Arabidopsis thaliana: one gene and its partner. The protein of the gene in region 2 interacts with the protein of the main gene of each other region in a pairwise test. Each region holds a gene or a part of one and is shown on either strand. Other genes may lie near its edges.

Region 1 (17,836 bases), 5.6 Mb from region 2:
TCACATGGCACCACCACTGCACCACCTTATACAAATAAGGCATTTCTAAACATTTTGGCAATCATCTTTTGAGATTTTTAAAAATATTCAAATAAACGAACTACATTTGAAAATTTGACAATTAAAATCAAACGAAAAACGAAAGTTATACAGTTTTTGCAATCTTCTTGAATAAACTATCCATAGTAATATCGAAAGCATCTCGAAATCTCTCAAACTTAGCATTAGAATCTCCATAGACCAAACCAGGCAAAAGCTCATGAACAATGTAACTCCTCATGTCCTCTCTTTCCCTTAGAGTCTTTGACATTAACTTCTCAATCACATTCACTCTCTTCAACTTCACATCTTCTTTGTTTATATACACCGAATATCTCCGGTGATCCTCCGGTAAATGCCACGTGTACTGGTAATACGCGCTGTACGGATCAAATATCACCGGAATACAACCTAATATGAGGGAATCGAAAATCGATTTCCTTGTTGGACTGTCTCCAGGCGGTTGAAGGCAGAACTCCGAATCTCGGAAAAGCTCGATAACCGATTCCGATTTATCGCAGCCTCCATCGGTACAATTCAAAAACCGGCATTGGTTTGGAGACGATCTGCATTGGTCAATCAATATTGACCGGATGCTCTCAGGGTTACCGGGTCTTGCTGCACCAGCGAAGCTAATTAGGCTCCGACGAGGTTTCCCAAGTATTTTGTTTTGCCATATGGCGATATCGGTGTCAGTTTTCGGGTGGAAGTATGTGGGATGAGGTATCGCGATGTCGTTGACTTCCCATGGATTACGTTCGATGAGAAGCTTTGTAGGGTTTTTCATTTCTTGCATCTCAAGTAAGCTTGAGCCCCAAGAATACTTATCAACCCTCCTAAAATCCCAAGAGATCTTTCCGAGAACAAAAACATGATCTTTTCCGGAGTTTTTCCTCCATGATTTCTTCGATCCGAGCCATTTAACAATCTCAATCGGCAAAACATCTTTCACATCGCTTGAAACGTTCTTGAAATGCCATCTCAAAACATCCATACCGCCATAGAAAGGCACATAGAAGAGCTTCGCTTGAGTCTCGTTATGAACCCTACATGGATGCTTCAAAATTCTAGAGTGAAATATCGGCTCAAGTGAATACTGATGCGTTCTGAACCAGCCTTTACCCATACTCTCCATCAGTTCACCAAACGCATCGTTCTTGAAGTAGTTGCAAAAATCAGCCCATGGAACCATATCGGAGCATTCCCTCAACAAATCTTTGTTGAATTTAGATGGTAAATCGTAAACGTATACACCTTTTCCTTCGCAAGATCCCGGCTTTTTGCGGTTGTTTCCCATCGATAACCAAGTTCTCTGTATTTGAATATACTCTTCCGTAGATTTTAGACCGGTCTCCTCGTCTTCGGTCTTCGCTTTGAAATATCGGTATCGTTCTTCGCCAGTTTCTGGATCCCAATCAATGATGAAATCTTGATCAATCTCGTTTTTGGGTAAAGAATCTTGATCAAGAACGGAATCAAGATTCTTTTCATGGATGGGTTTAGCATCTTGATTAAGAATGGAAACTCTTTCTCCGGAGGTTTCTCCTGTGAAAGTTTCGTTCTTATTGATGGTGAGGTTTTCTCCGACCGTAGATTTGTCTGAATCTTTTCCTCCCTCGAAGGTTTCATTTTCTGCGAAACCCTTGTCTCCGTCTTTACCAAGAACAAAAACATTCTTCTCTTCTTTACTTGTTACCACATCTTCACTAGCCGGCGCAGTGAAATTGTTGACTGGTGCACGTAAAGCGGGCTGAGAACCGGCAGTGAGGCAATAAAGGTCAGTGAGCTTCCGCGAAGAGATGCATATATGAACGACGTTACCAGAGATAACGGTCGTGGAAGTGGACCAAAGATAAATCAAGAAAAGAAAGAGAATCGTGAGAGGTACACGATAAAGAAATGATCTGGCGGAAAAGATCGAAAAAAGGTTATTACAGCAAGTACGAGGATCTTTAAGTGTTTTTTCGGGATTTCCGGTTTCGGTCTTTTTGGACGTTCTTGGTCGTCTCAACTTTGAGACGGAGACAGGCATTTTCTTGTTTGGTTGTTTTTTGGATTCTCTTTTGTGTACAAGCTTTTGTAGATGTTTTGATAGGGACATCTGGACATGCACTCACGTCGTCACATAATTGTAGTAAAATGATCAATGAGTGTGCACGTCTTGTTGTAACAAACTTAAATCATTTGATTTGGAAACCTGATAATAGAAATAGATGCATATGTTAATATTATATAGCAATGTTTGTTAGTTTAGTATTCATTGAATCTTATAGTGAAATTAATAATCCAAGTTTTGGTAGTTAAAACGAATTAAATTAACGTGCCTCCAAGTTAAAATTTTGGAAAACAACTTCTCTTATATATGGTTGTGGAATATTCACTTTGACTTTGGATGCGAGTGAATATATCCATAATAACACAAGATCTATCTAGCTGGCCTTTTTTGGTCAACTTAAATTTATAATTCAAAGTAGGGGTTATGCAACCAATCCGGAAAAAAAAGGAATCTATAAAACACAAAGTTGACATATAGTATACGAGAAGAAAACGAAGCAGAAATGTTTACTTTTCTCCTTGCAACAACATTGTCCCATTGATGCACTCACCGTTAGTTTTGGGACGATGAAGAAGATTGTTATTGCATTCAATCATTCTCCATGATCTATCAACTCCTCCCAATGTGAATACTTGATGTTCAAAAGATGGACCATCCCAGTAATCATTCACTTTTTCCGACATGCACAATACTTAATTTATACTCACCATTGACTGGATCATACCCGAAAAAGTTTTGGATAATCTTTTTTCTTGATTTCACTTTGGGTAAAGGTATGTACTTACTTGTGCTAGGGTTGCATATAAATTGTTCTCGTCCACATCCAAGACTTATCAAACCATTAACGTAATAAGGAACATTATTGATCCTGCGGCAATACGGACTCGGGATTGAGCATGTCGCACTAAGAGATAAATAATACGGTAGATTCTTGGTTGATGTCGAGGAATACGTGAAGAAGTTACAAATCTGGCGTCCGTTTTGGTTATCTAAATATTTGAATGCAAAGAGTATATGTGGCTGAAGCGAAGACCTAAAGGGAAACGATCTAATGAAATATCGACTGCGGATAATTGTTGCCAATAACTTGGATACAACGAGAAACTTAGCTACGGACTTCACAGGCAATCTCTTCTTGTCTCCGACGTTACTTGACTTACTCGAGACTCCTTCTCTATCTTTGTCCTTTTGCTGCCATGTCTAGTTCTCATTATCACGTTTCAAAGTATAATCCTAATCTTCTTATCTTTATTTGTGTCCTCTCTGCTCTTGTCTTATAATAAGGCAAATATTTTCCTTTTCCAAATAGGAAAAAGGGAAGCAACGAAAATATGGAGGCAAAGTAAATCAATTATTAGTTCATGGACTTAAATTCTAGATAAGGAGTGGAAACTTACTGTACGGTTTGTTTATTGGTTCATCAAATTCAATAACCGGTACTCGGTTTAGTTCAATTTTTTAAACTCGCTCCACCTGAATCTCCCGAATCTCCAGATGATCAAGCTTCTTAGGTCGCTTGTAGTTCTTAAGCAAGAGAGAGCAACACACAACACTAACAGAAGAAGCAGCCATTGCAGCACCTGCAATCCATGGAGGCAACCTGAAACGTGTCCCTGGGAAAAGCACTCCCGCAGCGATCGGTATCCCCATGAGGTTATACCCGAGAGCCCATACGTAGTTGAGACGGATTCTTGAGAACGTTTTCCTTGAAAGATCAATGGCTGTGATCACATCTTCTAAGTTGCTTTTCATCAGAACTATATCCGCTGCTTCTATAGCAATGTCTGTTCCTGCACCTATCGCCATACCTACATCCGCTGCCACGAGAGCCGGTGAGTCATTGATTCCGTCACCTACCATTGCCACAACATGTCCCGCAGCCTGCAATATATATTCATTGCTTTTATCAATTCCATATATGTGAACTTTTTAACATTTAGTGTGGAGCTTTTACTCAAGTACCTGTAATTCCTTGACTTTCTCTGCTTTTTGCTCAGGTTTAGCTTCTGCGATAACAGAGTCGATACCGACTTCTCTAGCAATTGAGTTTGCTGTTCCCCAGTTGTCACCAGTTACCATGATGCTTTTGATATTCATGGATTTTAGAATGGAGATGGCTTCTCGAGCACTCGGTTTTAGAGGATCCGAAACAGACAAAACTCCAATCAGTTCACTGTTTATGGAGACAAGAATTCCGGTCTGGGCCATATCTTCAGAGTCAGCTAGCAACTCTTCAGCATCATCTGGAATAATAACTTTATGATCATTCATCAGATTCTTGTTCCCCACCATAATCTCTCTACCTTTAACGGTGGCTTTCACTCCCTTTCCAGTGATGGACACAAAATCACAGGCTTCTGGCCAGGCAGGGTTCTCTTCGTCGTCTCTGAATTTCTTCGCGTACTCGACAATGGCCTTTGCTAACGGATGCTCACTGTTTACCTGATAAACAAAATAGCATCAACATAGTAATATTACTTTTGATGTAGGCCAGGAGTTTCCAAAAGTTTACCTCAGTTGCAGCAACAAGTTCATAGAACTCTCGAAGTACCATGTTTTTCAGGAGCTTTGTTTTCACAACAACGGGCTTCCCCATCGTGAGAGTTCCTGTCTTGTCAAAGACAATGCAATTTACCTACACCGTCATTGAAACTGTCAGGTTTCACCATTTCAGAAAAGAAATGATCCAGAGAACCTGAGTAAAGTATATACAGTATAGTAAGTTTACAAAGCCATAGACCAAGTTACTGCACACTAAACTAACCTTGTGTGCTCTTTCTAGGGCTTGGCCACCCTTTATCAGCACACCTTGGGATGCACCAACCCCAGTACCAACCATAACAGCAGTTGGAGTAGCCAGCCCAAGAGCACATGGACAAGCTATGACCATGACAGAGATCCCGAACTGAAGAGCTAGCTCAAAGCTATCCATCGAAGAAGGTATCCAGGATTCAGGGTACCAATGCAGTTTCCCAGCTAAGAACCAGGCAAGCCAAGTTGAGAACGAGAGGAAAATTACCTTCAACATTATAATCCAGTGAGTTTAAAAAATAGTTGTGCCTCTAAAAGACTAAATAATTTGTTTATCAACTGGTCAGATTACTCACAAGAGGAACAAAGAACTTGGAAATCCGATCAGCCAACTTCTGTACTGGAGCTTTGGCCAGTTGTGCGGACTCAACAAGTCGAACAATCTGAGCAAGAGCACTCTCTGAACCAACCCTTGTAACCTTAACATGCAGAACACCATTCTCGTTCAAAGTGCCTCCTATAACTGTATCACCCTTTCTCTTTGCCACTGGCCTAGCCTCTCCAGTGATCATACTTTCATTCACATGACTTTGTCCCCATATGACATAACCATCTGAAGCTACTTTAGCACCAGGAACAATTTTGATCACGTCATTCTTCTGTATCAATCGACCATCAATCTCCTCTTCACCAGTCACATTCCCTTCCTTGTCCAAACTCAACAATATCGCAGTGTCGGGTGCCAAGTTCATAAGCTTTGCGATCGCTTGAGATGTTTTTCCTTTAGCCATAACCTCCAAATATTTTCCTAGTATGATAAAGGAAATGAGCATGGCACTAGTCTCAAAGAAATCTACTCCCTTGAAATCAGGAGATGTTGCAGCTCTCAACACTGTGTATAATGAATAGAAATAAGCTGCATTTGTCCCCAGAGCAATCAGAACATCCATATTAGCCGATCCTCGGCGTAAAGCCTTGTAAGAGCCAGTATAAAATCTCCAACCAATGACAAACTGGACAGGAGTAGCCAAAACACACCTTATGATTTCTCCAACGGTGAGCATATTGATGACCTTAAACATGAGCAAATCTTTAATTCCAGGGATATACATAAAGACCATGGCTGTCAAAAACACCGGTACTGTAAAAACCAAACTCCAGAGAAACGACTTATAATACTGCTTAATCTCCCCTTGCTTTTGAGATTCTCTGCCTACCCCTCCCTCTGAGAATATTGTTGCCTTGATGTGACCACTATGACCAAAGACAGTAGACTCAATCACCTGAATGAAATTCCTCGGCCCCGTCACATCAGGTTTGTACAATACAGATATCTTATCAGTTCCATGGCTGATCTCAACACTTTGAACACCAGGAAGTGCTTCAAGCGACCTTTCAATAACCTTCATGGATTCATCAGTAAGCTCACCATCAATCTTCAAATCAATCTTGCTCACATCCTCGCCTGTACTTATAAGCACAGCTTCAAAACCAGCATTTTCTATCTCCTCCAATAGTCTATCATAGCTCGAGAGTCTAGGATCATAATGAATCTCAGCTTCTTCAATTGCTAAAGCCACATGTGCTCTTTGTACACCATTAACCGATTGCAAAACTCTTTCGATTGTTGAAGAACACGAAGTACAAGTCATACCATTAATTCTTATTCTACAAACTTGTCTCGACCTCTCATTCGCTTCATTTTCGATCAACGATGCTTCAAATCCAGCATCCTCAATAGTCTCACGAATTGTCTCCACCTATAAATCCACAATTACACAGAAAAAGAAAACCTAAATCCCAAATCAAGTCTTCTCAGAAACAATTCAACCGAGATTCGAGAGAATATCATAGCTTACATCGACAGAGTTAGGGTAAAACAGAATCTGAGCACGATTATTCAGAGCATCGATGACAGCATCGTGAATTCCAGGGAGACGCTTGATAGCCTTTTCAACAGATCCAGCGCAAGCAGAGCAAGTCATTCCTAACACTTGAAAAACCGCCCTGGAAATCGGATCATCGATCTCAAAAGCCGCCGTCTCCGACGATGATCCTCCGCCGCCGTCGCGAGACCTGGTAAGGTGCTTCCGCACCAGAGGGTAACGCTCGCTGAATCTCTCTTTCCTTATGCATGTAAGCGACAAAAGCTTCGTCGCCATGTAATCGATCGTCTTGTGCGCGAATCTTGTTCTTCTCGTATCGAATTTGAGTTTTTAAAAAGCTTTTAGGTTTATGGGAAATGATGAGACTTTTTGAAATTGTTTTGCTTTTTAAATTGGAACGAAGACGAGGGAAAGCGGTTTACGACATCTAAAATGACAAAAATGTGTGGGCCGATTTGTAAATGTTTAAACTATAGGGCCCTACCAAACAATACTTTACTTTTAAATTTCAACCGCCATATATAAAAAGAGAGAATTTCAACCTCAACAGATTAAATTCCAATTTTCTTTTAAATTATATAATTCAAATTTAATCGTCCAAAGTAACAACACCTTTGACTTTAAGGTTCGCTAAAAAAATGGATTGATTAGTGATGACAAAAAAAAAAGGATTGATTAGTGATATTATTACGACATGATGAAGTAATCTTTTTTTTTTTTTGATAATTAAGAACAGGCCTGATTAAGAATGATTAAGTAATCTTTACTTGTTTTTTTCTGTTTCAATAAAATAATATGACAATATACTAACGAAACTTGGCTAATCCATATCTGTTTTAACTAAAGGTAAAATGGAATCTATTTTACGTGTCTGTCTAATCTTTTATGGCACTCAACCTCGTAAGAAGAAGTCATACCAAAATTGAAGATTGAAAACAGTCAAAGCATTGATAAATGGGCCTATTGACTTGTGTGGCCCATTTAGACTGATACGAGGCTAAATGTGGGCCTTTTATTAAGTTGATCCATGCATTATGATTTATGAACTTCAACTACGTTTCTTCTTCTTCTTGGTCCGCAAACACTTGTCTGAGACTGATATTGATCTCAAATTGATTGCCTTGAAGCTTTTTCCAATGAGACTAATCATGTCAAACAATAGATACAATGCTCTATATAATATAAGATTAAAGGTTAGATCCAAACACACTACATTAACATTCTTCAACCTCTCATAGATTTTCAAATAATAGAGAAAATCTTTCAGAAACTATGTTCATCTCTTCATTTACAAACACTTTGAACCACCCAAAACTCAAAACTAATCAAGAACACAGACACACTCGTCAAGATCAGAGCAAAAAAAAACAATATCAAATGTTGTAATCAGTCGATTGATTTACAGAGTTGAGAGTTTGGTTTTTAGTTAGTTAGCATTGCATCATTCAACACTCGTTTTCTTTCCTTTCATCATTCTCATCACGAGTCAAGCGCCAGCTCGGCCCAAGCCAAAGAAGATGATCTAAGCTCCGCTGAAATAGACAGACTGATTCTGCTCTCCAATGTCTCGCATAGCTCTTGCACTGAGGGCTTGTTGTGATTGTTGTTGTTGTTGGTTGGGTCCCGGTTCAAGCATTGGCTAGCCACTTCGCATACCGTCTCAAGATCTTCTTGGTTAAAATGTTTCAGCTCTGGATCCACCAATCCCGACATTGCCTCTGGTGCTTCAAGGAACTCCTTTGCCTGCAAAATGCAATAGATACGTTTCAAATTCAAAACTTTTGCCACAAAAACCACATTTGAGGTGCGATATAACTAAACATGTGAACAAGGTCAAGACTTCCACATCCAGACGAAAACTCGTCTCTCCCTGAACAGACGACTCCATTCCTACTAGGCTAACAGTAACAAAGTTTTTGATATAAATGGTGAAAAAAGAGGAGGAGGAAGTAACTCAGTTTCAAGTGTTTAGAGAAACTGAGTTGTTTTTGTCTTACCCATTCAATTAAGAATCCTTTGTCTTTGCAATAAGGAGGTCTTCCACTGACAATTTCCAGCAAAAGAATCCCGAATGCATAGATATTACCCGACACATCAAGATATCGGCTCTCCATTCCGTTTGGGAGTACACATATCGAACCCTGGCTACTAATATTTCTCAAATTCTTTTCTGATCTTGCAAGAATTGTCTTCCAGCATTCGAAATCAACCAGCTGCATCAGAGAAAGTCAGAAAAAAGAAAGAATGTGAACATAAAGCTTAGCTTAGCTAATTGTATTACTCAGATAACAAGCAGGTCTCACTTTACTTTACCTTGGGAGTAAAATCTTCTGTGAGATAAATTGCGTTTGAGCTCAGCTCAGAGATTGTAAACGGAGGATCAAGTTCCATATGAAGGTACTTGAGACCACGTGCGATGCCTATAACAATCTTCATCCGTCTTGCCCACGATACTAACGCCGCTTCCCCGTCTGCATCAAAATATTTCACATAAAAATGTTATCTAGCTAAAACAATACAGGATGATGCAACAAAGCTCTGAGGTAAGTTAGACTATTTACAGTGAAGGTGCTCATATAGTGTTCCGTTTGATGCATACTCAAAAACAAGCATTCTTGTAAATGGTGAGATCTCTTTGCAATATCCAAGTAATTTCGCTGTGTTCTCGTGGTTTAATCTAGCCAAATCTGCAACCTGAAACAGTGAGGAGATGGATTTAAAATCTCAGAAAAAAGGAGGATATGTTTAAAGATTGTTCAATCCAAGTGGCTTGGTGATGATGATAACATGAGAGGAAGCTACCTCTCTCTGGAAATAGAGCTCAAGATATCCAGTCCAATCTTCTTCCTTTACACAAAGAGAGATCACCGCAATCTCAGACCCACCTTTCAGCGTTCCTTTATAGATCTGACTATCTGCTGATAAACCAATGATGTTGCTAAAGTCTTCACACGCCACTTCGAGCTCTTGTCTTGTTAATCTCGAAACATCCTTCAGCATTTCAGAATCTGTAGTTAAAATAAAAACATGCCACGTTTTTTTAGTTCTTTGCTCCATGGATTCTACATTGGAAGGTAAAGAATTAGGAAAGATTCTAACCTACGTAGACTGTGAACTTTTCCTTTTCACTTGAAGATTTCTTCCAAGGAATGATGAGAGTTGATCTATTGTTCCAGCGGTGAACTGCAGAGAAAAGTGCAACCAGAAGGAGCAAACCAACCATTGACCCTGTGACTATCTCAAGAGCTAGAAGCCATTTAGGTTTTGATGCTCTATGGTGCTTAGCCACCATTTGAGCTGATTGGTGCTTAGGAGCAGCGCTCGGGCTTCCATGAGTTTTGACCAGTTGTGCATTAGCTGCAACAGGGATAACATTCAGAAAACCAAGACTAATTGAACATGTATGTCGATAAAGTGAAAATTATTCTATCTTACACACCGCATTGGGAAGAAGATCTATGCTTAAGATCCTTGTTTTGCATGCAGTTCCCTTGAAAGCTCGTCCTAGTGACCACAAAAGAGCATTTCTAAGACTAAATTGAAGACTTAGAGAGTTCCAAAAGACAGCATAGATGATAGAATACCTTGGAAGGTTTTCTAAACATTTTGGAATATTTCCCACGAAAAAGTTGTATGAAAAGTCAGCTACTTTTAAAGATTTGCACAAACCAGCGATGTTTGCACTTGAATTTGAAGAATACCTAAATAAATTGAATAAACAAAACCCGATTAACATTGCCATCATAGACAGAAGTCACATAGTGTTTCATTTTTGGCTTCTTGAGCTATTAAACTTACACTTTCGACTGATAGCCCGATGCTCCAGCAACAAGAAGACTTCCTTGAAGCCTATTCCTGTCAATATGAAGTTCTCTAAGGTACTTCAAGTTACCGAGCTCTGCAGGCAACTTTCCAGTCAAACCATTGGACTGAAGGTTGCTGTAAAATGTGAAAAGAAAAACTGTCGTCTCAACAACTCATCTGTTAATAAGATATGAAAGCATCACTTTGACTGCGAAAAAGATGAATCTTTATTACATTATCATGATGCCGGACAAACTCCCGATCTCTGCAGGGATCGGTCCCATAAGATGATTGTTTCCCAAGTCCAAGATTTTGAGATTCTTTAAGTTTCCTATCTCCTTAGGTATTGTCCCTATTAGAATGTTCCCATGTAGGATTCTACAGAAGCATTTTAATGATGTTAATGAGATGCATCAAACTCAATGCATCAAACTACATATTTGTGAAAGAGATGAAACCGTACAGTTCCTGCAGGTACGTTATTTGACCCAATTCCGGCGCAAGAAACCCTTTTATCGATGAAGCGGATATATTTCTGCACGAAAAGAAGATCCACAAGCTATAAGCTCAAGCCAACTTCATCCTAAACCACTCATAAACAACTGATTCTGCAGATACTATACAAGAATAAGTAAACGCAAGAGAAAGAAGAAAAGATGAAAGATTCTTACATCTTGATAACATGATCTTTAGATGGAGAGCAATAAATGCCGGTCCAATCACAAGGATCTGAATTGGGGTCATTCCAATTAGACATAACTAGCAAAGGGTCCTCATAGATAGCTTCCTTGAATCTTCTAAGTGCTTGAACTAACAAAAACAGAGCAGAAGATCCATAAATCTATTAGATGATTTATATGATCAGACCTTGAATTAAAAGCTTTAACTTCACAGATTCTTCTGATCTTATCCATTAAAAAGATAAAACTTTTTCAGGTTGATTAAGATTCTACACTAATCCCAACTCTGTTCAAGTTAAGTTAGAAAGTTGTTCACAGAGAGATTCATGGAGACTGAAGAATCTAAAAAGGTATGAGCTTTATCTAGCATTTTCTTAGTAAACCTAACACAAGCGAGAAAACAATTGAAATCTGAGATCTGGGTTTAAGAAAAGTAACACAAAACAAAGAGATTAACAAATAGTTTTACCTTCATTAGAGGCAAACCCATCACAAGAAACGAAGAAGAGACCAAGAACAAGAGCTAACGAACAAAAATACTTCGATCTCATCGTCTGTTGAAAGATTCCTTCAAATTCGGCTCATTAAAAAAGAAGCGGAACCTAGATTCTTTCACGGATGATCAACAGTATAAGCTCAAGAAGAATCTGGAGAAAGACGACAACTTTCTTTGACAAGTACTCTCTGCAGAAATGAGATGTATAAGCTCAAGAAGAGACCAAGTTTAGTAAAGTAAAGAGCGAGAGAGAGAGAAGCTGAAGAATGGAACAAGGAAATGGTAAAAGAGAAGTGAAACTGGACAAGATTATTTGATTGATTTAGCAATAAACCTATCAAAGAAAACTCACTGAGACGAGAACAAAAAAAAAGTAGCAGAGATGATGAAGTGTGGCGAGAAAGAGAGAGAGAGAGAGACTTGGATTCAAAGACAGGTTTTTGTTTTTCCTTGTTGGAGGGGAAAAATGAGCTTTAATTTTTTTATAGAATAAAAATAGCTATGAAAATATACAATTTAAATAAAAAATATCACAGAAAGGAAGAATGTTCTCATCCTCTTTATCTTTTTATTTCTTTTACTTTGGGCAACTTTATGTGACTCTGAGTTGTTTTTAAATATTCTGAATTATGGATGTTTTTTTTACATGAATGTTTGTTTAGTTTTTAGATCGATTTTCTATTCATTTATATAAGTGAGAAATATATTTATCTATATTAATAATATATATACATCAATCATGTGGCAAAGCTTAACACCAAATTAATAATAAGGAAATATCCAAATCTTTCTATATCAGGAATCTAGGGGCATATGTACAACTGTATTTTTGCATGAGATTTTAATTGTAATATACAGTAAATTAAAAAATGATTTGTTAGTGTTAAAAAAATGATCTGTTGAAAAGATAATCGTTGTATTGTTATTCAAATATATATTATCGCTATTTTACTTTTAAAATAAAATGTAAATTTTATACAAAAAAAATTGTGCATCAAGTGTAATGTTCCAATATCATCGTTATTATGTAAGAGTAAAATTATTTTAGAACCTGATTTTTATTAACTTTATTAATTATAGATACTAATGTGGTATTTGTGTAGTAAGAGCAAAAAAAAAAAATATGAGAGAGGTGAGAAAAAGTAGGAGAGAAGGAGAGTTAAATTTTTCGGAGGAGAAACTTTGAGAAACTATTCTTATCAAATTTGTACAGATGTCATCATATTATTAGTTCAACTATTAAATAATAATTAATATATTTGTTTTGATTAAAATATTAATATATTTTTTTTTGAAAAACTTTCCTTATTTTTACTGATGGAAATAGTGTGCCGTAGATTTTTCTTCACTAATTTAATGTGGATCTAGTTTTTGAAAGAGGTAAATTTTTTAGTAGTGAATTTTTAGATATTCAAAAAATTAATAATAGGACAGACTATTATTCGAACGTAAAATGGAAGAGAACATCTCATTAGAATAATGGTAGAAATGAATAAATTTCGTTGGAAGATTCCTAATTAAGAGTATAATATTGTTGCTAATCATTGAAATAATAGTGCGTTTAATTTATAAAGAGAATTTATTTTTCGTGGTACGGTCACGGTGTCTAGTGTCTACTAGTCCACTACGGTGATCTAGAGCCTTGCTAAGCTGTTGTTACAACATACCGTACTACTGTAGATCACAGCTATGATCATTAAATTGTATTTTAATCAACGGTCAACATATTAACATGCAATACTAATATATAAAATAATTATATTTTGTTAGTAAATTCAATTTCATTGTAATAAAATAGTATCGTGAAGGCTATAAACAAACTTCAAATAATACGTATTTGTCAATTATAATAATAAGCTATTTAAATATAGTATGCTACAAGAATTATTATTTTTAGTGTGAGAGACAAAATGTCCCATGAAAGTTACGCCACCAATCATGCGAGCTTATGCTTGGAGCGCGTGACGAATACTCTCCGTATTTTAGGTTTATTGTTACCACTTGGAAGTTAGAATCATTAACTATCACAATTCACAAGTTCGAAAAATCATGACTATGATGTTGTGGGACTAAATGAAGAAAAAACAAAAAAAAGCTAAAATCTCCATTAAGCTTTCTCTAGAAACAATTGTTGTTTCATGGAAATAAATCAAACATAATGTCAGAATATTAGAAAAAAACATTATGCAAATTAACACAATAAAGTAGGGAAAATCAAATGGTTTAAAAGATACAACGCTCAACAACTCTATCAATTAAATAATTTCTTTTAATTGTCAACAAAGTTACACAACATATATTTTTAATGTTTGGTACAAAATCTACATAAACATTTTTAGATGAATCCAACTAACCCCTCGTTTATTTCTAGTACATTCTACGTTTCTTATTTTTTTTAATAAGTCTTTATATAAATTATATAATTGGCCTCAAGAGATCGTAACTTCATTAATTGAACAACAAACAAGAGAAGGGGACAAATTACCCATGCGTGTCCCAATTTGTTTGTTTCTAAGTTATTTTCGTGTTATATTTATTTCGTTATATAAACGTACACACATATTTGTTTCTAAGACTTGTCGACATCCCATTAGATGATTAGATCTCTTGTATCATTTATGTTTATGTTTTGACTGCTTATGCACTTAAAATTCGTATGGTATATACTTTCTACTGTTTTTTTAATTTTTATAATCAAGATATAAAAACGTATTACTAAGAATATTTTCTAATTAAATATATACATACACTTCTGTTACAGTTTGGACATGAAGGTTCCCTTGTCGTCACGCCCAATGCTTACAAGCAAACATTGAGTAGATGCTAAGGGAAATTGATAAGAACCATCATGAATACACAACTTTGTGATGACATCAAATTTAAATACGGGGCACTTGTTCAATCATACTTTCTAACCAAAGGATTAGTACCCTTTTTCCAATGGATTTAATAATTTAATGTTGCAGAATTTGGAAGTCAGCAGTTATCTCAAATTAAGGTTTGAGCTTATATGTACAGTATTCGGGTTTAGATCTAAACCGGGTATGCAAATATTGTGGGTTTTACACGCATTCGGAATAATTTGATATAACTTAATAACTGAACTTTTATTAATCTGCAAATTTTATAGTGTTCGTGAAATTTAAGAAGTTATTTCAGTGTTAGATCAACCATTTTCTTTTCTTTTTGTGCAACACGCTACTATTTTCTTAACATGTTCTTTTTAGTATTTCTAGTGTAGTATTAACCATTGACATCAATTGTAACAGATTTTAATGTGTTTTAACTCTCTCTTTTTAAAATGTGTGTTTTAAGTTTTTATCAGTCTTACACTATCTTTTTCGCATGAGAGAAATCTTAAATCTGAGTTAAACTCAAAAGTATTCACCGCCGCCGCCGTGCTTGTGTGAAGAGAAAACGACATTTAATGAAATGAACAAACCACATACAGTAATTTCATATTGATAAAATCTCAAAATATTGGGTATATCAAAAAAATCTCAAAATATTTATAAAGGATGATGTTTTATTGGGTTCTGTTTTTTGAAAAATTGATCATCTTTTTATTTTTTTGTGAGTCTCTTTATTAGTATAGACTATTCAGCAAGACAACTAAACCATTAAATCCATTTGGAGAATTTATCATTAAATCATTTTCGGTAAAAGAGTAGTAAATGTTTTGTACTAATATGTAAATAATAAATAACTAGATAATTAATGATGATATGTACATATGATCGTGTCATGTGTGTATATAAGATAGGCTGAGAGGCGATACACGTTTGTTCCACCAAGACGACTAGTAACCAAGTTGGTACCAAATGGCTAATACGATATTAACATCACAGTTTTTTTGACATGACAAATTATTGAAATTTTATATATTATTTCATATGATGGTGAGTTTAAGATACTATTCTCATAAACAATTTGTTCCAATTACTCGATAATTAATCATGCTTATAAGATTTATATTGAATGAACTTTGCATTTGTTTGTCAAGTCAGTGAAAGATAAGTAAATTATTAGAAAATAGTACATATCTCATTTGTTTATAAGAAAGAATTTTAATTCCTCAAAATTATAATCAATCTAACGTTATCCAATAGATAAAAAAAGGTACTATAAAAATCCCCAACTAAACTTAGATCATCAAATTTAGATTATATCACTTTACAGAACCTTTTGCCAGTAAGAGTCTTCCCATTTCTCCACTTGCCGGATGAGATTCAATTTCTTCCTATGGAACTTCTCAAGACCATTGGAATCAAAAGGAGGAGGAAGTGAACATGGGCCAGAAGCATGAGGCCTACTAACTAAAGAGCCTATCATAAATTTCTTATCAACCCCATTAACATCTTCCCCTTCAGAAGGGCACACCAAGGCTTCTGTGCATAGCTCAACACTATTCTTTGGAACTTGAGGCTTGTACTTAAGAAGCTTGGAGTATTCATTCAACAGATGGAACATGTAATCATAAACATTTTCCATTGATAGATCTCTTTGCATGAACTCACTTGCTTCTCTTCCTATCTCTTGAGCCTGAAAATCAAATAAATCTATGAAATCGTAGGCAAAGTTATATATGTGATTGAATTTATCAAAAAATTCTATACAACATACTTTTGTTTGCATAATACAGATAAACCCTTTATTTTTCTTCAAAACCTAATTATTTTTGACGAACTAGTTTGATGTGATATTGTATTATACATATCTATAAATAGATCCAGAAAAAAAAAATGATCATGTTCATATAAGTAAGATAATGTAGAAAGAGATTATAAAAAAGATGGAGAAGGGTACCTTTTGAGTGTGATTATTAAGCCAATCAACAGCAAATTTGATGGATCTACATTTATCTTTATCCCTAATGGGCCAATAGTGTTGGAGAGGTTGAAGAGTTCTTGAGAAGAAATCATAGTAATAAGGTTTCACCATCAATGTGACTGAGTCACATGCTAATATGTATTTCTCACTCACTGACCACGCATACCCTTCTATATAGATCTTGTACCTACATAGTAACTTTATTACTCCAATCATTAAATGACACAAAAGGAAGAAGAAATTTTAGACAATGGTACTGACCTGTAAGTGCATTGATTTGCTACATTCGAATTCTCAAATCCTCTTTGTCCTTCTGATATCCAATCCTATTTGCATGCAAATACAAATCAAAAATATATATATATATATATATATATATATATATTGCATAGGAAGACAAGTATAAATAAATCTGATTATAGAAGCATACCTGAATGAAAATTCTAGCATTCCAATCATGTAGTGAGGATAAATTGCAAGTGAGGAGATCTTCTCTTGAAGGAGATGCAACAAAAGGGTTCCCTTTCCAATATGCATAGGCGTCTCTTTCCATAAATTTCTTCTTCTTCTTTCCTTCTTCCATTTCTTTCAACACTTTGCTCCACTCCCTTATGTTTATCTCCTGCCTTCACCCACCAAAATTATTCCATTTCATTTCAATTTCATTCAAAAAATAAGAACTTAATTTGATAGAAAACATGTTTAAATGAATAGTTATGAAACTACCAATATGGTTTTGGTTTTACACTTCATGTTTTGCTGGAAAGATTGAATGACACAAGAAATTAAAGTTACTTTAGTGAAACACTTTAGTTAAAGCATAATAAGTGATAAACAACTTACAACCACATATTTAAATTGTAGTGGCATTGCGTGGAGGGATAATATTGTTTTTGGACTTACCTTTTCGTCCCTTTAAATTACTATAATTTTAGCCACTAACTAGCTATACTACTATACTCTTAAGAAGATATAATACAACAAAATGAATCTATTAAGAATCACGAAAGAATCTATTTGTGTATAAATGAAAAAATGGACCCGGTAACTTTTCTCCGGCATGTGATCAAGTGGGGACAAGTGTACCTTAACAACCATACACGTTAGCTTCAGAGTTCAGACAAAAGAAGAAAAAAGGAGAAAGTGAGAAGAGATTATATTCTAGTACTTACCATCCCCAGAATGACCAATCAGGAAAGACGATATCCACCGTCCACCTATCACCGCAATATCTAAACAACGGAGGTGGCGCATTCTCAACCGTACGATTCAATATATTATAACCGTCCGATCT
Region 2 (16,069 bases):
TGATAGCAAGAGATAATAATAAGCATGTTCTTATATTGATATGACATGTTCTTACATATAACTTCCATCTACCATAATAAGCTAAACAAGTGCAAAATATACGGAACCGAAACAACATAAAAATGAACAAATTAAACTGCAATTTAAATTAGTATAAATTAACACTAACCTTTCTCATTTCAAATGATCAAAACACACTGCCGGGAAAAGGCATTCCACAAGTGGCCAACCAAAAAATATTGTATATCAAAACAATTTTGTATTTGTTCGAAAAACTGAACACATCTTTTTCATAAAACACTGACCAACTGCGTTTGCCACCACAGTATACAACTTTATATTACGATATAAAAGTCACACTCACATGTAACATAAGAGACAAAAAGATACGTAACAATTTAGAAAATAGATTTAAGAAAGGGAAGCAACAACAATAATTACAAATCACCACCAAATCCCTTCACGCCCAACACAAACAACTGCAAATGCCAGCAGAGTCACCCACTAATAATAAAACCCCTTCTCCTTTTTGACAAGTTGTGTCAAAAATTAGAAATTAAAATTATAAACCTGATTTCTCCCCAACCATTTCATTCAAATTAAATAAATTAACAATTAAGAATCTTTGACTTAATCAGCTTCGTTCACTTGGTCTGAACCAGAATAAGGTCGCAAATTCTCCATCTTCCTAACCACTTCCGACATCTCCGGCCTCTGGTCCGGATGCTGTGACGTACACTCAAGCCCTAGCTGCACCATCTCCGCCATCATCTCTTCTTCATCCGTCGCCAAACTAAGCAACTCCGAGTCGAAAACTTCTCTCCTCCACTCATCTCTCGCCACCGATTTAACCCATCTCGGCAAATCAACTCCTTCCTCGTTCATCACCGAGTTCGAAGGAGCTTTACCCGTGATCAGCTCAAGCAACACCACTCCGAAACTGTACACGTCACCCTTCTGCGACACGCGTTTCGGATCGGTTACTTCTGGAGCACGGTAACCCGTAGCGCGGTTTGGATTTGTTGCTGATGATCCCACGAGCTGGGCTAAGCCAAAGTCTGAGACTTTAGCGTCGTGGGATTTCGTTAAGAGGATGTTTGAGGATTTGATGTTGCCGTGAGATGTTGAAGTGCCTTGTGAGTGAAGGTAGTCTAGACCACGAGCTGCACCAATAGCAATTCTTGATCTAACATCCCAGTTTAGTGGACTCCTTCCCGCTCCTCTGTTTCCTGTTAACAGACAAAAGACAATTATAGAAACTAAAGAGAACAAACCAAAGTCTTAGAGTAGTAATCATTGTTCATAGATCAAAGCATCCAATGTTAAACACATTGTCCCTACCAATTCACAGAAACTATACAAAGTATTATGGAAATCATATCAATGTTAAGAATCAATGATCAAAGAGATTAAGCACTAAACTTAACCATAATCTAAATGTATTCAAGCCTATCTATAGGCACTAAAAGCATTGACTTGCCTCAAAAGAAACCAAACTCAATCTAAGCACAAGTTTCGATATGAACTCACCATGTAAGAGAGCTGATAAGCTTCCCATAGGCATGAAGTCATAGACAAGAAGTTTCTCATCTCTGCTGAAATAGTAAGCTCTCAATGGCACCAAGTTCTCATGATCCATCGCACCAACCAACTCAATCTTCTCCTTAAACTCTTTATCAGCCATCATCACATCCTTCAACCTCTTCACCGCCACAACCGTCACCGCGTCAAGCACTGCCTTATACGCCGTCCCAAACGTTCCTTTCCCAAGAACCTCCGCAGAAGCTCTCAACAAGTCTTCAAGATCAAAAACCTTAGTCGCGTTACCAAAGAACACAAGCTTCTTCGTCGCTGGACCGTTCCCTTCACTGGCTTTTCCGTTTCCAGTCATCGCCGCAGCTGCAGCAGCAGACACCGAGTAGACATTACCATTATCCACCGCTTCTTTATCTCCAGGAATTTCAGGTTCTTGCTGTTTGATTGTTGAGATATCAACAGCTCTTGATCTCTTATTACTCTTTTTCCGACAGAGCACCATTAGTATCAAAACAATCAAAGCGAAACCAACCACACATCCGATCACAATTCCGGCAATAGCTCCACCGGAAAGTTTGTTCTTTTTCTTCTTCTCTTCACTTCCTTCAACACTCGGTGGTGTTCTGTTTCCACCAGAAGTAGGCTGACTAGGTACAGTTTCTTCATCAGGACAAAGTTTAAGCGGTTTGCCACAAAGTGAAGTCTGTAGAAACGAATCAGACTCAAACCTCTGAAGATTCTTAGGTATAGAACCGTTCAACGAGTTATTCGAAACGTTGAATTGAACCAAAGGTAAATCTAAGTCAGGGATTGAACCAGAGAGTTGATTATTCTCTAGAAACAGAGTCTTTAGCTTCGTGAGGTTCGTGAAACCTGAAGAGATTTCTCCGGTGAAGCTGTTGGAAGCGAGATTAAGCCTCACGAGGTGACTGAGACTGAACAAAACTTCAGGTATCTCGCCGGAGAATCTGTTTCCTTGTAAGTAAAGGTGTCGGAGATTGGAAGAGGTACTGAGATCTTTAGGGAGTGAGCCAGAGAGAGCATTGAGACGAAGGCTAAGTGTACGGAGCTGAGTTAAGTTACCGAAAATACCCTCTGGAATGTCACCGGAGAGAGCAACGCCGGGTAAGCGGAGAGCGGTGACTCTGTTACTCTCGCATTTGACACCGGCCCAGTTACACGGCGAGGTTTGTTTGATGTTCCAGCGAAATGTACGGCCTCCGACGGCGGAGCGGAGAGAGAGAAGAGCGGTTCTGTCGGCGTTGAGATCTTGAGTTGATGGAAGAGGGAGAGAGAGGAGAAGGAGGGAGAGGAAAACAGAGAGAATCGCCATGGACGAGTTGGGGAAGAAGAAGACTCGCATTGTGACTATTCAGAGAAGAAGACGAAGAAGAAGAAGAAGAAGAAGAGAGAGAGAGAGAGAGAGAAAGGTATAAAAATGAAAACTTTATTATTAAAGAGAGAAGAAGAGAGCTGTAAAAGGAGTGAAAGCAGTCAACAGCCTAATCCTCTTCTTCTCCTTTTTTCCATCTTTCATTGTTTTTTTTCTGTTCTGTTTTTTTTACTGTCAGTAAATGGAATTAAAATATCAGTTTTAAGTAGTAAAATAACAGACTAATATTAATCTAAATTCTGTAATTAGCATAAAGACTCCTAGATAATTGAGAACCCTAGTTATATGTTCCTAATTAATCTATTTTTTTAGATTTTTGACACATAAGAAAAAACATATTAAAAATTGATTATAAATATATTTTTTGGAAATTACAATTTTCTATAATTCTTAACCAATAGTATTTATTTTATTTTATTTTGAAATTTACGATTCATCATCAATACCTGATAAAAATGCATACACAACATTAAAAAAATATACATTTTCTTAACCATTTGTTCTCTAGAAAATGGATTATTAAGGAACATAGAGAATTAAGTTATGGAGTATAATAAGATTGAAGTTGTTGATAATATTAATATAGAATTAAAAAAGGAGAAAAAGGGTGGGTAGAGAGTTGGTAGGACCGTAACATGTTAGAAGATGATCACAAATTCACAACCACATTTGATTACATTAAAGTTTTTGGAATAAATCTTCTTCGTTTTGTGTCTGTCTCGGCCACTCTGTAAACAAGACCTCCTTTAGTTTTGTTTTGTATCTAAGAAATTCTCGACATTGGCCCTATAATATGTATCATCCTTTACTATAGTCCGGGACCATTTGTTAGATGCCATATAAGTTGTGCATGCGCATATTATCAAATATTTGATCTCAAAATATACAACTTTCTCAAGTGTAATTTGTCAATAATATGCATGCATGCTTAGACGTTATTTGTCGATAACTATCATGACTATCTATAAGGGGCCAAGATCATGATTTGTAACGTTTTTATTTTCTGTTAGTTTTAAGATGTACTACATGTCCTACTCCGTTTGGAGGTAAGAAATCTACAAATTCTTTTAAGTTTATGGTTATGTGTCAACTATTCCTAGAATTTAGTAGTATATGACAAAGGAATAGTTTTATTTCTTTGCAATAGTATGGTATTAGGTTAGATCATTTACACATACAGCAACAAAAGGAAGCTGTAACGTGCTGCGATACATGGTTGGGCGTTACACGAAACGAAACGACAACTACAATTAATATTTACATTTTTTTTCTTTCATGTGGTTTGGCTCCTTTTCTTCTCACCAAATACTACCATTAATTATAAGTTTCATTTGCTCGTGAAAGACCAGAGCAAATACCCAAAAAGATTGATTATTCTTCATTGGTCGGAGAGAATTTCTGTTAGATAGTTTCGAGAAACTTATAATTCTATTTTTCTCGTAAAAGATTCAAATATTAAATGACTTTTTCTAGTTGGTTTTGTTTTTCTTGGCGTCTATATTGATTTATTTCTGTGATGAAGAAAATACCGGCTTACAATAATAAACTATACGTAACATGCATGAACATATATATACATATATGTAGTTGAGTATATGCGTGCAGGTGGACCAATCAAGTAGTTTATTTAGTTATATATTTTACATGAATTTCGTGAACGTATCTACTGACTTTACCTGACCACAAGATACGTCTAATTCTTAATTAGATCCCTCTATAAGCCCATATTAATCCAAGTATAATATATACATCGTTCAGTAAAAACAAAAAAATACTTATACATTCGACTACGAGATATATAATCTTATAGCTTATATTAATGCTTTCACCGTATCATAGACGAGGAAAAAATGTGTGTATGCTTATAACCTGATAATTAAACGTTACAGATCAATCATCAATGGACGAAAACTGCATAATGTAGGCATGTAGCTTTAGGGTAGCTTCTATGACATAGCTTGAATCTTGAATATAAGAAAAGAAAAATCAATGTTTTGGTCAACTTTTGCATAGACACGGCTTCGAATTCAAGTCATAACGGTAGAGGTTAATTAGGCTTGAAACGAAATGGGTTCTAACTTCTAGATATGTATACAAGTTTCTTGTTTCTCAATCCTTTCTTTTGGACCAACACGTAACTAGAAAAGTAAAAGAACAATAACGGACGGTAAATTTGATATATGGGCTAATAAAGTCAGGCCCGTTCAATTGTTTTTTTCCTGGTCAATGCCCTTATTCAAACATAATCTAATATGGATGCTATGGTACAATGCAAACGCCCTTCACTGAATGACTTCAAATGTAACTAAAAAGCTTAGCCGAGGATGATGGTTACAAATTATTCGAGTCATAACGGTAGATTTTTTGGCTTAAAAGTGAACCGTAACCGGATCAAACAATAGAAATCACATAACATTTCGTAACTTATTTGAAAGAAAAGTCTAAATGCGAAATTAAACCATATCAAACCGAAATTCGAAGAACATACAAAGAACCAAAACGAAGAAAAGTCTAAAGCTTAGAGGATGGTGGTTTCAGCAATCATGGAGGTAACTAGGTAAGGATCCATATTAGACGAAGGCCTTCGATCTTCAAAATACCCTTTACCTTCTTTCTCCGTATCTCTTCCTACTCTCACCGATGCTCCACGATCCGCCACTCCCTACACTCGATAGATAAAAGTTACATAGAGATAGATCATAAACCAAAACGTAACTATATGATTTGGTTTCATATATATACCCAAGAGAAAGTGTTGATGTCTGCAGTTTCATGCTTCCCAGTGAGACGCCTCTCGTTGCCTTCACCATAAGCAGCAATGTGTTGTTTGTGTTTCACTTCAAGCTTCTTTATTGCTTCCTTAATCAAATCCAGTCCTCCATCTTTCCTCATCGATTTTGTACTGAAGTTCGTATGAGCGGCTGCTCCATTCCAATCACCCTAATTAATTAACCACCATAGATAACAACCTCACTACAAAAGAACATTCAAGAAAACTCTCAAGCTATAGCTACAAACAAAACAGTCTTGATCATCACGAAACCTGGATTGGTTTTGGATCGAATGAGACAATCACACCGCATATCTCAGTAATCCTCTGCCAAAAAAAAAAAACACAATGATTCATATTAGAGTGCAAGAAACCAAAGTTGAGCGCAAAGAAATTGTTAGGAATGCCACATCGATAATAAGATAGGACATAGCAGAAATATGGGCCCATGAAACTTGATAAAAACAAAGATAAAATTGTAATGGTTTCTTACCTCAAGAATGTAACGAGCAACCCATAATTGATCACCTGCACCAATACCAACAGTAGGACTGATTTGAAACTCCCATTGTCCAGGCATGACTTCACCATTGGCACCACCAATACTCAAACCGGAGTATAGACAAGCTTTATAGTGAGCATCGACAATGTCACGACCAAAAGCTTTGTCTGCACCTACTGCACAATAGTACGGTCCCTGTTTCATCAAAACACACAAAAAGCAATATTTCCGAGATAAGAAACTTGTTCTTGGTAATAAGAGTTAGTGTATGAATTTTATCATAAGTGTACCTGAGGACCAGGAAAGCCACCAAGAGGCCAACCTAGTGGCCACTTCACATCTTTTTTAAGTAATGTGTATTCTTGCTCTATCCCAAACCTATTATATAACACATCAAAGTATCAAAATGAGTCCTAGACTGAATCAACTAAACTGAAATATATTCCAAAACAGTGCTTATGTTAAACAACTTTTAATATATGTTACAATATATTTTGAATTGGTCAAACTATGGTATTTTTGTTCTACACCATAACAAACTGAAAAAATTCGATTATAGTTCATTTGAATTTTTCTATAGGCTATGTATTTAGCTTACCAAGGCTCTTCAGCCTTCACATTGGGATGATCGAAGATTTTTACGGCCTTGTGCCTATTGTTGGTCGGAATTGGATCTCCGGCCGGTCTGTAAGCATCACACATCACCTGATATATTCAAGAACATTGATTTTAAAGACCCACTAATCAATAAAACAGATGAATCTTTTGCTCAAAATTTTATGTGGGCTAACCAGAATGTTGTTCCCCTTCCTGAATGGGTCCTTAAATATTGCCTGAGGACTTTTTTTTTCCAATTCATTCCAAAAAAATGAAATTATTTTAAAGATACTTTTGATATCACTTTACTTATAAATGTTATGAATAGGGGATGAAAAAGATTACTAAAGAATGACTTCACTATCATCTCCGGCAGCTTGATCGGTGCTAGATCCATCGTAGTTCCATTTTGGAAGCTTTGTTGGATTACTTACTGGTCCTGGTAATGTCTATTAACAAACAGAATTTAAATTTTTGTTTGGTTATTATAGAAACTAGAGAGACATAATGTGATGGTATTATTACCCTGGCTTTGCTTCTAATATCCATTCCAGAGCCACCGATCCTGTTCTCATGAAAAAACAGAACAAAACAATGTTGTTTAAAGAGACATGCAAGATCACAAGTGTGTAACATCAAGAATCTATATGACATGCATCGAGTTATAGAGAGACTTTTCTATAGATTTAAGTGACAAAAAGATGATTAGGGATCGAACCATATGTATTCAGCGATGATTTTCTTGGTGTCTGATAGATCAAGGTTTAGGAGATCTGAGAGAGGAGACGTCATTTTTGTTCCGAAAGAGAAAGAAGATGATTCTGAGATTGGTTCTATTGATCTCAGTCACTCTCACTATTTTTATAGAAGCGGCTATTTCTCTTGAGATCCTATTTTATTGTTTTCTCAACAATAATCGTTGATTAGTATAATGGCATCTTTTATTAAGTATCCATTAATAACCATCACATATTGATAAAAAGCTTTGGGACCAATTTATTTGAGAATCAATCACTCAACGGTGTAACAGATTCATCAATGAAACAATACAGACACGTCACACTGTTAAAGACACCTATCGGAGGCACAAATCTTCCACGTGGATAAGCATTCAGCTTCTCTATTGTTGCATACAAAGGACCAAAACACAAGCTGAGACCAGACCCATCTATTGTTGTGTTACTTATGTTGTGATTTCACACATTGAAACTTTAGAGAAGGGGTCACAAGAGTCTCCAATAAGAAATCTCATCAAATACTGAAGTTAAGTAGGATCGTTCTATAACATTTCCAGCCAATTCTCATTTCACATGATCAACCAATTCTTAAAGTGACTTAATACAATTCATTACTACTGAAATGAACACAGAAACAAAACAAAACCGATGGGATTTGGCTACATCTAACAATCACTAAACACTGAGATCTAGTAGTTTTCACCTACAGGTCTAGAAGGAAAGAGGCGCATAAGAAAAGTGATAAACGACCAGAGACACATAACAGCTAGAAACTGCAAAGTCACAACCAAACCAACTAGTGCAACTCCTCGCTCTGTTATTTCAGCAGTCGTTGCCGCATCTTTCATCATAAACATCAGCCTCTGAACAAAAGTCGCTGCTCTTGTCACCTGATACAGCCTATACACCTGCCATGACATACACAACCATAGTTACTCAAAACAAGACTACAACATCATGGACCACAAGAAGATGGGCAGACAAACTTAAGACCAAAATGGTCAAAATCAGAATATAAGTTTACCTCAAAGACTATTGGAACAATGGGCCAACAGGATGAGCCACGTCTTTCAAGCCGAGCCTCGAAAACTCTTTGAACTGCACAGCCAACCAAGAAAGGAAGCACTGCAATCAAAGCATCTATTCCAAGAGCTGGCCAAGTCATGTAAACAGCAAATACGGGAACTACAACTTTTAAACCCATCGTGAGGAATGCAGACGTAAGGTATCCCCTCAGTCCAGTGATCAGACCCCATCTCTTGGAGCTGAAGTCTAAGTACGGCCTCTGCACTCGGTCAGTCACAGACAGGAATATCGCAAGACCAGCATAAAACACCGTCTCAAAGCAAAAAGAAGTAACAATTTCTGCATCAAGAAATTATAATAAGAGAGAGCATCAAAATGAGTATCATACAACAAGAGATAGATCATTTGCTAAGTCTCTTAGCTTTAGGAGAGTTATGAGATCTCGTTTAGGTACTTTCTAAGGCTCAGGTCATGTGTTCTTGATAATAGTGAAAAAAAGGATTCTAATATTGCACATCAGAAAACATGTACTAAGCCTATCAAAACCTCAAAGCCAAAGCCTACTACACTAAAACATAATGAGTTAGCAGATGTAACACCACTAAGATAGATAGCTTCTACTCCATTTGTTCCTTCCTAGGATTCATATAAGTCATAATCCGATGTTAAACATTAAAGCAGTAGTAAAACCTGACCTACCAGCAACAGTGTCGTTTTTGAAGGTAGCTTCAATGATACCACTTAGAAAGAACTGAGGAAGAATCAACGAAGAAATCAAAACAACAGGAGCCAAAACCCACAAGAAAGAACCTTTCTCTTCTTGAAACGGAGCTGAAACCAGTTTACTTTCTTCAACCAGCTGATGAGTCAGACCATTGAAAGAAACAGAACCTGATTTCCCACGGAACAGCTCAGCTCGAGCATAGTTACTCTTATCCGATTGCTTCTTCTCAGGTCTTGAGTCAGATTGAGAAGAAGAACACGCTACACGAACTCGGCTCAATTGCGGTTTGTTCCAAAGGAGGGTTTCTTAAACAAGAATGAAAATGAGAAAAAGGATCAGTCTTTATGCTACAATCTGGGTGAAGTAGGAGGATTTAAGATAGAGATACTTACGTCTGGAATCAAGTTTGTGACGCGTCGCAAATGTGGAAGAAGCCTATAGAATCAGGAGATATTGACAAATTTTAGGATAAGGTTTTGGAAGAATCGAAATGGAAAAAAATGAAATTTTGATGGTTAAATTTCACTTACAGGAGGAGAAGGAGGAAGAGAGAGTAAACGTGGAGATGAAAATCGAAGTCTTGGAGGAAGAAACCCTAAGCAAATTGCTTTCGATTCCATTTTTGTTAGGGTTTTTTGTGTTCTCTCAGCAGCTTAAACCCAGGCTTTGAAATAAATCTCTTCACTGTCTTTATTCTAAAAGAAAATTCTTTTCTGACATTTTATTTTTTGGAATTGTTTTCTTTGAAATGGGTTAAAAATTAAACTGTCCTTCTGATTGCATTTATTTTCTATGGTTTTACAATGGGCCTTTTATGTATTTTAGCTTGGCCCAGTTGAATTTTTTTTTTTGCACAAACCCAATTTTTTTTTATGTATTTCCTTCTGTTCGGTTATTTCGGTTTTTTTTGCACATACCCAGTTAAAAACCGAATTACCCGAAAACCGAACCTACCCGAACCGAACCTAATATCGGATCAATTCAGCATACTTTTCCAAAAAATTTAACAAAAAAAACGAAAACCGATATAACCGAACCGAACCGAAACGTTAAACCGAACTTTGATTGAGAAAGAAGTTGAGGCAAAATAATAGTGAAGATCGGATAAAAATGGGTGAAGTTGTAGAAAGAGGAGGCTCAGCTGTAACCTTTGGATACTTTAGCATCATTCTACTACCCACCACACTTTCACGGTGGTAGTAGCCGTAAGTCCGGCCTTTTTTTCATCATCGCCACCGTTTTTCTTATTTTATTAGCAAAAACGAAAAACCTTTTAAAAAAATTGTAGATTCACAGAAGACAAAATAACTTTTTTTAAACGAAATCACTGAGAAACGAAAAATCAGATAGAAACGACGACGACATTCTTACACACCGATTGGGGTAAAACTTTTTAGACGCGAAAGGCGAGAGAAACCCTAATTGTCTTGATGGGTCGTATTCTGGGCTATATATGTTTCCCATAATGGTCTAAAATCCCGCTTAATGGGCTTTGAGAAATATAAATATGAGCCCAACTTCTATTGTGTCAAACATGAAAAATTACGAAATTAATTTCCCGTAATTATCAAAAGAAAAAACGTGAGTGGGTATTATTGGAAGAGATAAGAGTCATAAACCATCCACACTAACCGGTTTAATCACTATTTATCGACATCATCTTCTCCTACATTCTAGGTTTCTTCTTCATTTCTCCTTTCTCTGGCCAAAGTTCCGACTTTTTGCTTCTCCCAGAGGCTAATCATGGACGCTGTGGCGGCGAATTTGTTTCAATCTCCTTCCTTACTGCGTCAAACTTCCGAAAGGTTGATATTTTCGACGCCCAACTGTCCTGGCTTCATGCGAATTAGCTCCGGACCTCAATTTCGTCTCAGAGTAGGTCTTATTTCTACTGAGTTTGATTTACTAAACCCTAGACAACATTGACATTTATAGCTTTCCCGAATCATCTTTGTTTGTGCTTAATCTACCCCATAATCGTATATCTTCCAATGAAATTCGAGAATTCAGATTCTGTGTAAAAAAATGGAACTTTTAAGGTTTCTTCGTGTAAATTTCTCATAAGTAAAAAAATTGGCTTGACTATATTGTAATTTGAATCTGTTGTCTCTCTGTATGCAGCAAAACTCTTCTCTTAAATTCTCGAGACCATTTCAAAGCGGAACAACTTGTGTTAAATCTCGGAGAAGCTTTGTGGTTAAAGCTTCAGCTTCTGGTGATGCTTCAACAGAATCAATCGCGCCGCTTCAGTTGAAGTCTCCTGTGGGACAGTTTCTGTCACAGATATTAGTGAGCCATCCTCATCTTGTTCCAGCAGCTGTTGAACAGCAGCTTGAACAGCTCCAAATTGATCGAGACGCTGAAGAACAGAGTAAAGATGCATCCTCTGTCCTTGGAACAGACATTGTTCTCTACAGGTTTGTCATATGCTGATATTAATTACCACTCGGCTATTATATAGGTTTGGATATTGAATTAGATTGTTTCTTGGGTCTTTAGGAGAATTGCTGAAGTTAAGGAGAAAGAGAGAAGAAGGGCCTTGGAAGAGATTTTGTATGCGTTAGTGGTTCAGAAGTTCATGGATGCTAATGTTACACTTGTACCATCCATAACCTCTTCATCTGCGGATCCATCTGGTCGAGTTGATACTTGGCCAACTCTAGATGGGGAACTTGAGAGACTTCACTCGCCTGAAGTTTATGAGATGATTCAGAATCATCTTTCCATCATTCTTAAAAACCGCACTGATGATCTGACAGCAGTTGCGCAGATAAGCAAACTTGGAGTTGGACAGGTATATGCTGCTTCGGTGATGTATGGGTATTTCCTGAAGAGGATCGATCAAAGGTTTCAGCTTGAGAAGACGATGAGGATTCTCCCAGGTGGGTCAGATGAAGGTGAGACTAGCATTGAGCAAGCAGGCCGAGATGTAGAGAGAAACTTCTATGAAGAAGCAGAAGAGACTTATCAGGCTGTTTCCTCAAACCAAGACGTTGGTTCGTTTGTAGGAGGGATCAATGCCAGTGGCGGTTTTAGCAGTGATATGAAGCAATCCCGGTTAAAGACATACGTTATGTCCTTTGATGGAGAAACCCTTCAAAGGTACGCTACAATAAGATCTAGAGAATCGGTTGGGATAATTGAGAAGCATACAGAAGCATTGTTTGGGAGGCCAGAGATTGTGATAACGCCACAAGGCACTATTGATTCCTCGAAGGACGAGCATATCAAGATCAGCTTCAAGGGATTGAAGAGGCTTGTGTTGGAGGCTGTGACGTTTGGTTCTTTCCTCTGGGACGTGGAGAGCCATGTAGACTCAAGGTATCACTTCGTACTGAACTGAAATGGCCTCTGTGGTTTATGAGGATGTGCCACATTCTTTGAGAGGGTTTGGGGATTTGTTGTTTGTAATATATGCGACTGTGAACTGACCAACTAATATCAATACCCATTTTATGGTAATACTACATTCGCGATCAGTTTGTGTTATTCTTCTCGTTTACATCTTGAAGTGCATCGTTGTTGTTTAACAAAATTAGTGTCTGTAAATGATAATTCTGGACATGAAAAATTAAGGTTGTTCTTGAAATATGATCAAAGAAATGGACACTGATGATATACACATATAGTGTGCAAAGGCTGTTCACGATACTCTTAGTTTCATTCAGGTCCAATAATATTAGAACGTAAAAATGCAATAAAAAAAAGCTTTACTTATATAATGGTTTTGAGGAACCAACTCCCTATACTCGTGAAGATTATTACTCTTCCTTGAATCTCTTCTCCGTTGCCTCCAAGCGCTCCAGGTCTTTGTTGTATTTGCAGATGCGGTAGATGCACCTGTCAATGAATAAAAGAGATATCAATAAAACTACGCGAGACCCTGTCTGTGAGTGACTGATAATAGCTGATGATGTTACAACTTACCAGTAGAGTAGAATTCCTGCAGCGCATAGAACCACGTTCCTCTGAGCCTTGTAGATCTGTGGTACAATGCAAACGCACAACTCGTTAGCAAGCAAGCTGAGACATTTCAGGGAAAGAGAAGGAACTAAGGGGTGAATTAAATATCCAAGTGTTTGATTTTCAGTTTTTCACTATGTATAATTGATCCTGGCGACTCGCAACTGCATACCCAAAAAGGTTTGAATACAGTGCATGACCAGAAAACTGAGGGATGAACTAAACATCCAAGAGTGGTGATGAAGCTTCACCAAGAATCAATTGCCAACAATTCACAAGAGCAAAGTATAAACTGAACTATGAATGACAATCGTGCCGATGGTATAAAGAAAGTCACATGTTGCTATTTGACAGTAGCTAGAACTACGATTAAAAGATATATGAGTACATCAATGAAGGGTAAGACCTAAAAAAATGCATTGACACTAACAAGTTAGACAGTGTTTTGTAGCTCTAATCTATGCAACTTCCTCAGACAAAGAAAGCCAATTCTCAGAAGTTTTACTAACAAATATTGATCTTTAGACTAAAGATGGGAGAAAATGACAAGGATGAAACTCACAAATCTAACAATTTACTATTCAAAAAAAGATTCATACACATAGAATTCAGCTATAGAAGAATCAAAGACAAAGGTGATCAAGGAATGGTACTTACAGATTTCTCGTAGCGATCACGTTCTGTAGCAGTGCAAACCTCAGATGAACAAGATAGTCTATGCTCAGCCTTCCAGTAAATATCTGAATGAAATCAAAACCAAATAAGCAAAAGCACACAAAGGTACCAAATCCACAGAATCACTCGCGGCTCAAAACCCTAACTATACATATTCCGACTACGAAATAGATAGATAGAGCGAGAGAGAGGAGAGGAGGTTACCGAGGAGCTGAAATCCGGCGAAGGCGACGATGGAAGCAGCAGGTTGGAGAATCAATGAGACAAGCTGAACTACACGTTTCTTAAGAAGCATAGGGTAAGGGAGAGTCAACACGAGGGTGATTACTACTTCGACGGCCACCACATACGATAGAATCAGCCATTGCAACGCCATTGTTGTTCGTCTTTTTCTGGATCTCTCTCTCTCTCTATCTCTATTCCGTGTGAAGTAGACGAAGAATAATAATAGACGAACCGTGTGCGTGGAACACGTGCCTATGCTTAACCATTTTTTCTTTATCTTACTAATTAAGTTATTTTCTTACTTAATGGGCTCTCACCTCCGGCCCAATATCTCCATATACCGGTTTTATTGTGCTGATTATCGGTTTATTTCGATTTAACGGTTAGCTTTCAAGAACAAATACAGAAACTAGTCACTCTCTTCTTCTTCTCTGCCATTGTTGACTCTTGAAGTCTCAATTTTTTCTCTTCTTTATTTCTCCGTATGAACTTCTCCGATTTTATGGTTTTTATATCCTTGAAAGCTAGCTAGCACCATGGTTCCTCCGGCTAAAAAATTCATCAACAACCCCAACGGTTCGTGATCCCTCGTCTCCGTTTGTGTTTCGAATCGCTAGCTCTCTGTTCTAGATAGTTTATCTCATATATGGTAGTTGCATGCTCTTGAAATATCAATTGATAGAGAGAATGAACATAAGCTGTTTATTGCAGATGTTGTAACCGAGTTCATCGAAGGTCTCGTCGAAACTTATCCTGGACTTCAGTATTTGGATGGTCTTCCCGAGGTTAAAAAAATTCACTTTTTTCGATTCCTTCCATGGATGTGTGCAAAATCTCAGCTTATTTATGATGAATTCACAGATCAAAGTTGTACTAAGAGCTGATGTCTCAGCTGCAAATTATGACAAGGTTGCCGTTATATCAGGTTGGAGTTTACTTGTCCAATTCTTTTTTATTACAAATTGAGTTTCGTTTTCGTGTTATGCAATGCCATTTTTGAAACAGGAGGAGGAAGTGGGCATGAACCAGCACAAGCTGGGTATGTTGGAGAAGGAATGCTCACAGCTGCTATTTGTGGAGATGTTTTTGCTTCGCCAACTGTTGATTCCATCCTAGCTGTAAGTAACTCTTCCCACATAACGTTTCTTCTTCTTATTCCTTCTCTTGTGTCTTTCGAGAAAATGATGAATCTTTGTCCAATTCCAGAGGATTCGTGCTGTAACTGGTCCAAAAGGATGCCTCTTGGTTGTCACGGTAAATAAAACATGGCTAGACTTATTCTTATGTATATATCAATAGCTTTGAAAGACTATCCTTCAGTGTCTTTGGTTAAATTAGTTTCTCTTTTACATATTGTTAATAGAACTATACTGGTGACCGCTTGAACTTTGGCCTGGCAGCTGAGCAAGCAAAAACTGAGGGTTTCGATATAGAGGTAACTGTATATTTATTGTTTAGAATTTGGTAAGAACACTGGTGGATTGGATGACATGATCCCTTTTGTAGACTGTAATTGTTGGAGATGATTGTGCTCTACCCCCGCCGCGTGGCGTAGCTGGGCGCAGAGGTTTAGCGGGAACAGTTCTTGTCCATAAGGTTCTCAGTTTTCTTCTATGTTGTTTTTCCTCTATCTGCACTATAAGATAGCATTTCTTAGTAGTGTTTGCAGTCACTTATCCTCATCTTTTTTTATTATTGCATTTTCTTATATTTGTCTGTGATGTCTAAGTGGCAGGTTCTTTTGTGCTCTTTTGTATTTTTATATCCTTTGTTATTGTTTTTGTTAAGGGTAGGTTGCTGGAGCAGCAGCTGCTGCTGGACTTTCTCTAGCAGAAGTTGCAGCAGAAGCAAAACATGCATCTGAAATGGTTGGAACCATGGGTGTTGCACTATCTGTCTGTGCGCTTCCAGGACAGGTTAC

What was found.
Region 1: the proteins of GLN1;5 (region 2) and AT1G63430 interact in a protein complementation assay, tested with the Arabidopsis thaliana proteins (one large-scale study listed by BioGRID).

The regions. Positions count from the first base shown.
Region 1 is NC_003070.9:23,516,827-23,534,662, reverse strand, and holds AT1G63430 (Leucine-rich repeat protein kinase family protein), read right to left. Parts: upstream 12,167-17,836; 5' UTR 11,768-12,166; coding exon 11,686-11,767; intron 11,347-11,685; coding exon 11,208-11,346; intron 11,072-11,207; coding exon 11,000-11,071; intron 10,915-10,999; coding exon 10,771-10,914; intron 10,672-10,770; coding exon 10,531-10,671; intron 10,434-10,530; coding exon 10,317-10,433; intron 10,237-10,316; coding exon 10,172-10,236; intron 10,090-10,171; coding exon 9,832-10,089; intron 9,741-9,831; coding exon 9,535-9,740; intron 9,427-9,534; coding exon 9,294-9,426; intron 9,204-9,293; coding exon 9,046-9,203; intron 8,946-9,045; coding exon 8,730-8,945; intron 8,548-8,729; coding exon 8,212-8,547; 3' UTR 7,831-8,211; downstream 1-7,830. Other genes in the region: RHS8 (root hair specific 8), read right to left, coding at 146-2,140; HMA5 (heavy metal atpase 5), read right to left, coding at 3,554-3,976, 4,058-4,537, 4,608-4,730, 4,860-5,114, 5,203-6,606, 6,706-7,008; AT1G63420 (O-glucosyltransferase-like protein (DUF821)), read right to left, coding at 15,886-16,254, 16,519-16,729, 16,804-16,868, 16,973-17,168, 17,715-17,836.
Region 2 is NC_003070.9:17,905,305-17,921,373, reverse strand, and holds GLN1;5 (glutamine synthetase 1;5), read right to left. Parts: upstream 7,664-16,069; 5' UTR 7,591-7,663; coding exon 7,517-7,590; intron 7,364-7,516; coding exon 7,324-7,363; intron 7,248-7,323; coding exon 7,144-7,247; intron 7,042-7,143; coding exon 6,993-7,041; intron 6,907-6,992; coding exon 6,800-6,906; intron 6,580-6,799; coding exon 6,492-6,579; intron 6,397-6,491; coding exon 6,193-6,396; intron 6,027-6,192; coding exon 5,973-6,026; intron 5,870-5,972; coding exon 5,672-5,869; intron 5,592-5,671; coding exon 5,448-5,591; 3' UTR 5,273-5,447; downstream 1-5,272. Other genes in the region: RKL1 (receptor-like kinase 1), read right to left, coding at 631-1,229, 1,531-2,899; AT1G48460 (tRNA-processing ribonuclease BN), read right to left, coding at 8,225-8,443, 8,560-8,900, 9,261-9,590, 9,678-9,720, 9,816-9,905; AT1G48450 (alanine-tRNA ligase, putative (DUF760)), read left to right, coding at 11,029-11,160, 11,407-11,702, 11,785-12,628; AT1G48440 (B-cell receptor-associated 31-like protein), read right to left, coding at 13,047-13,125, 13,213-13,268, 13,906-13,988, 14,128-14,299; AT1G48430 (Dihydroxyacetone kinase), read left to right, coding at 14,685-14,724, 14,860-14,933, 15,010-15,073, 15,154-15,266, 15,355-15,402, 15,512-15,583, 15,655-15,744, 15,942-16,069.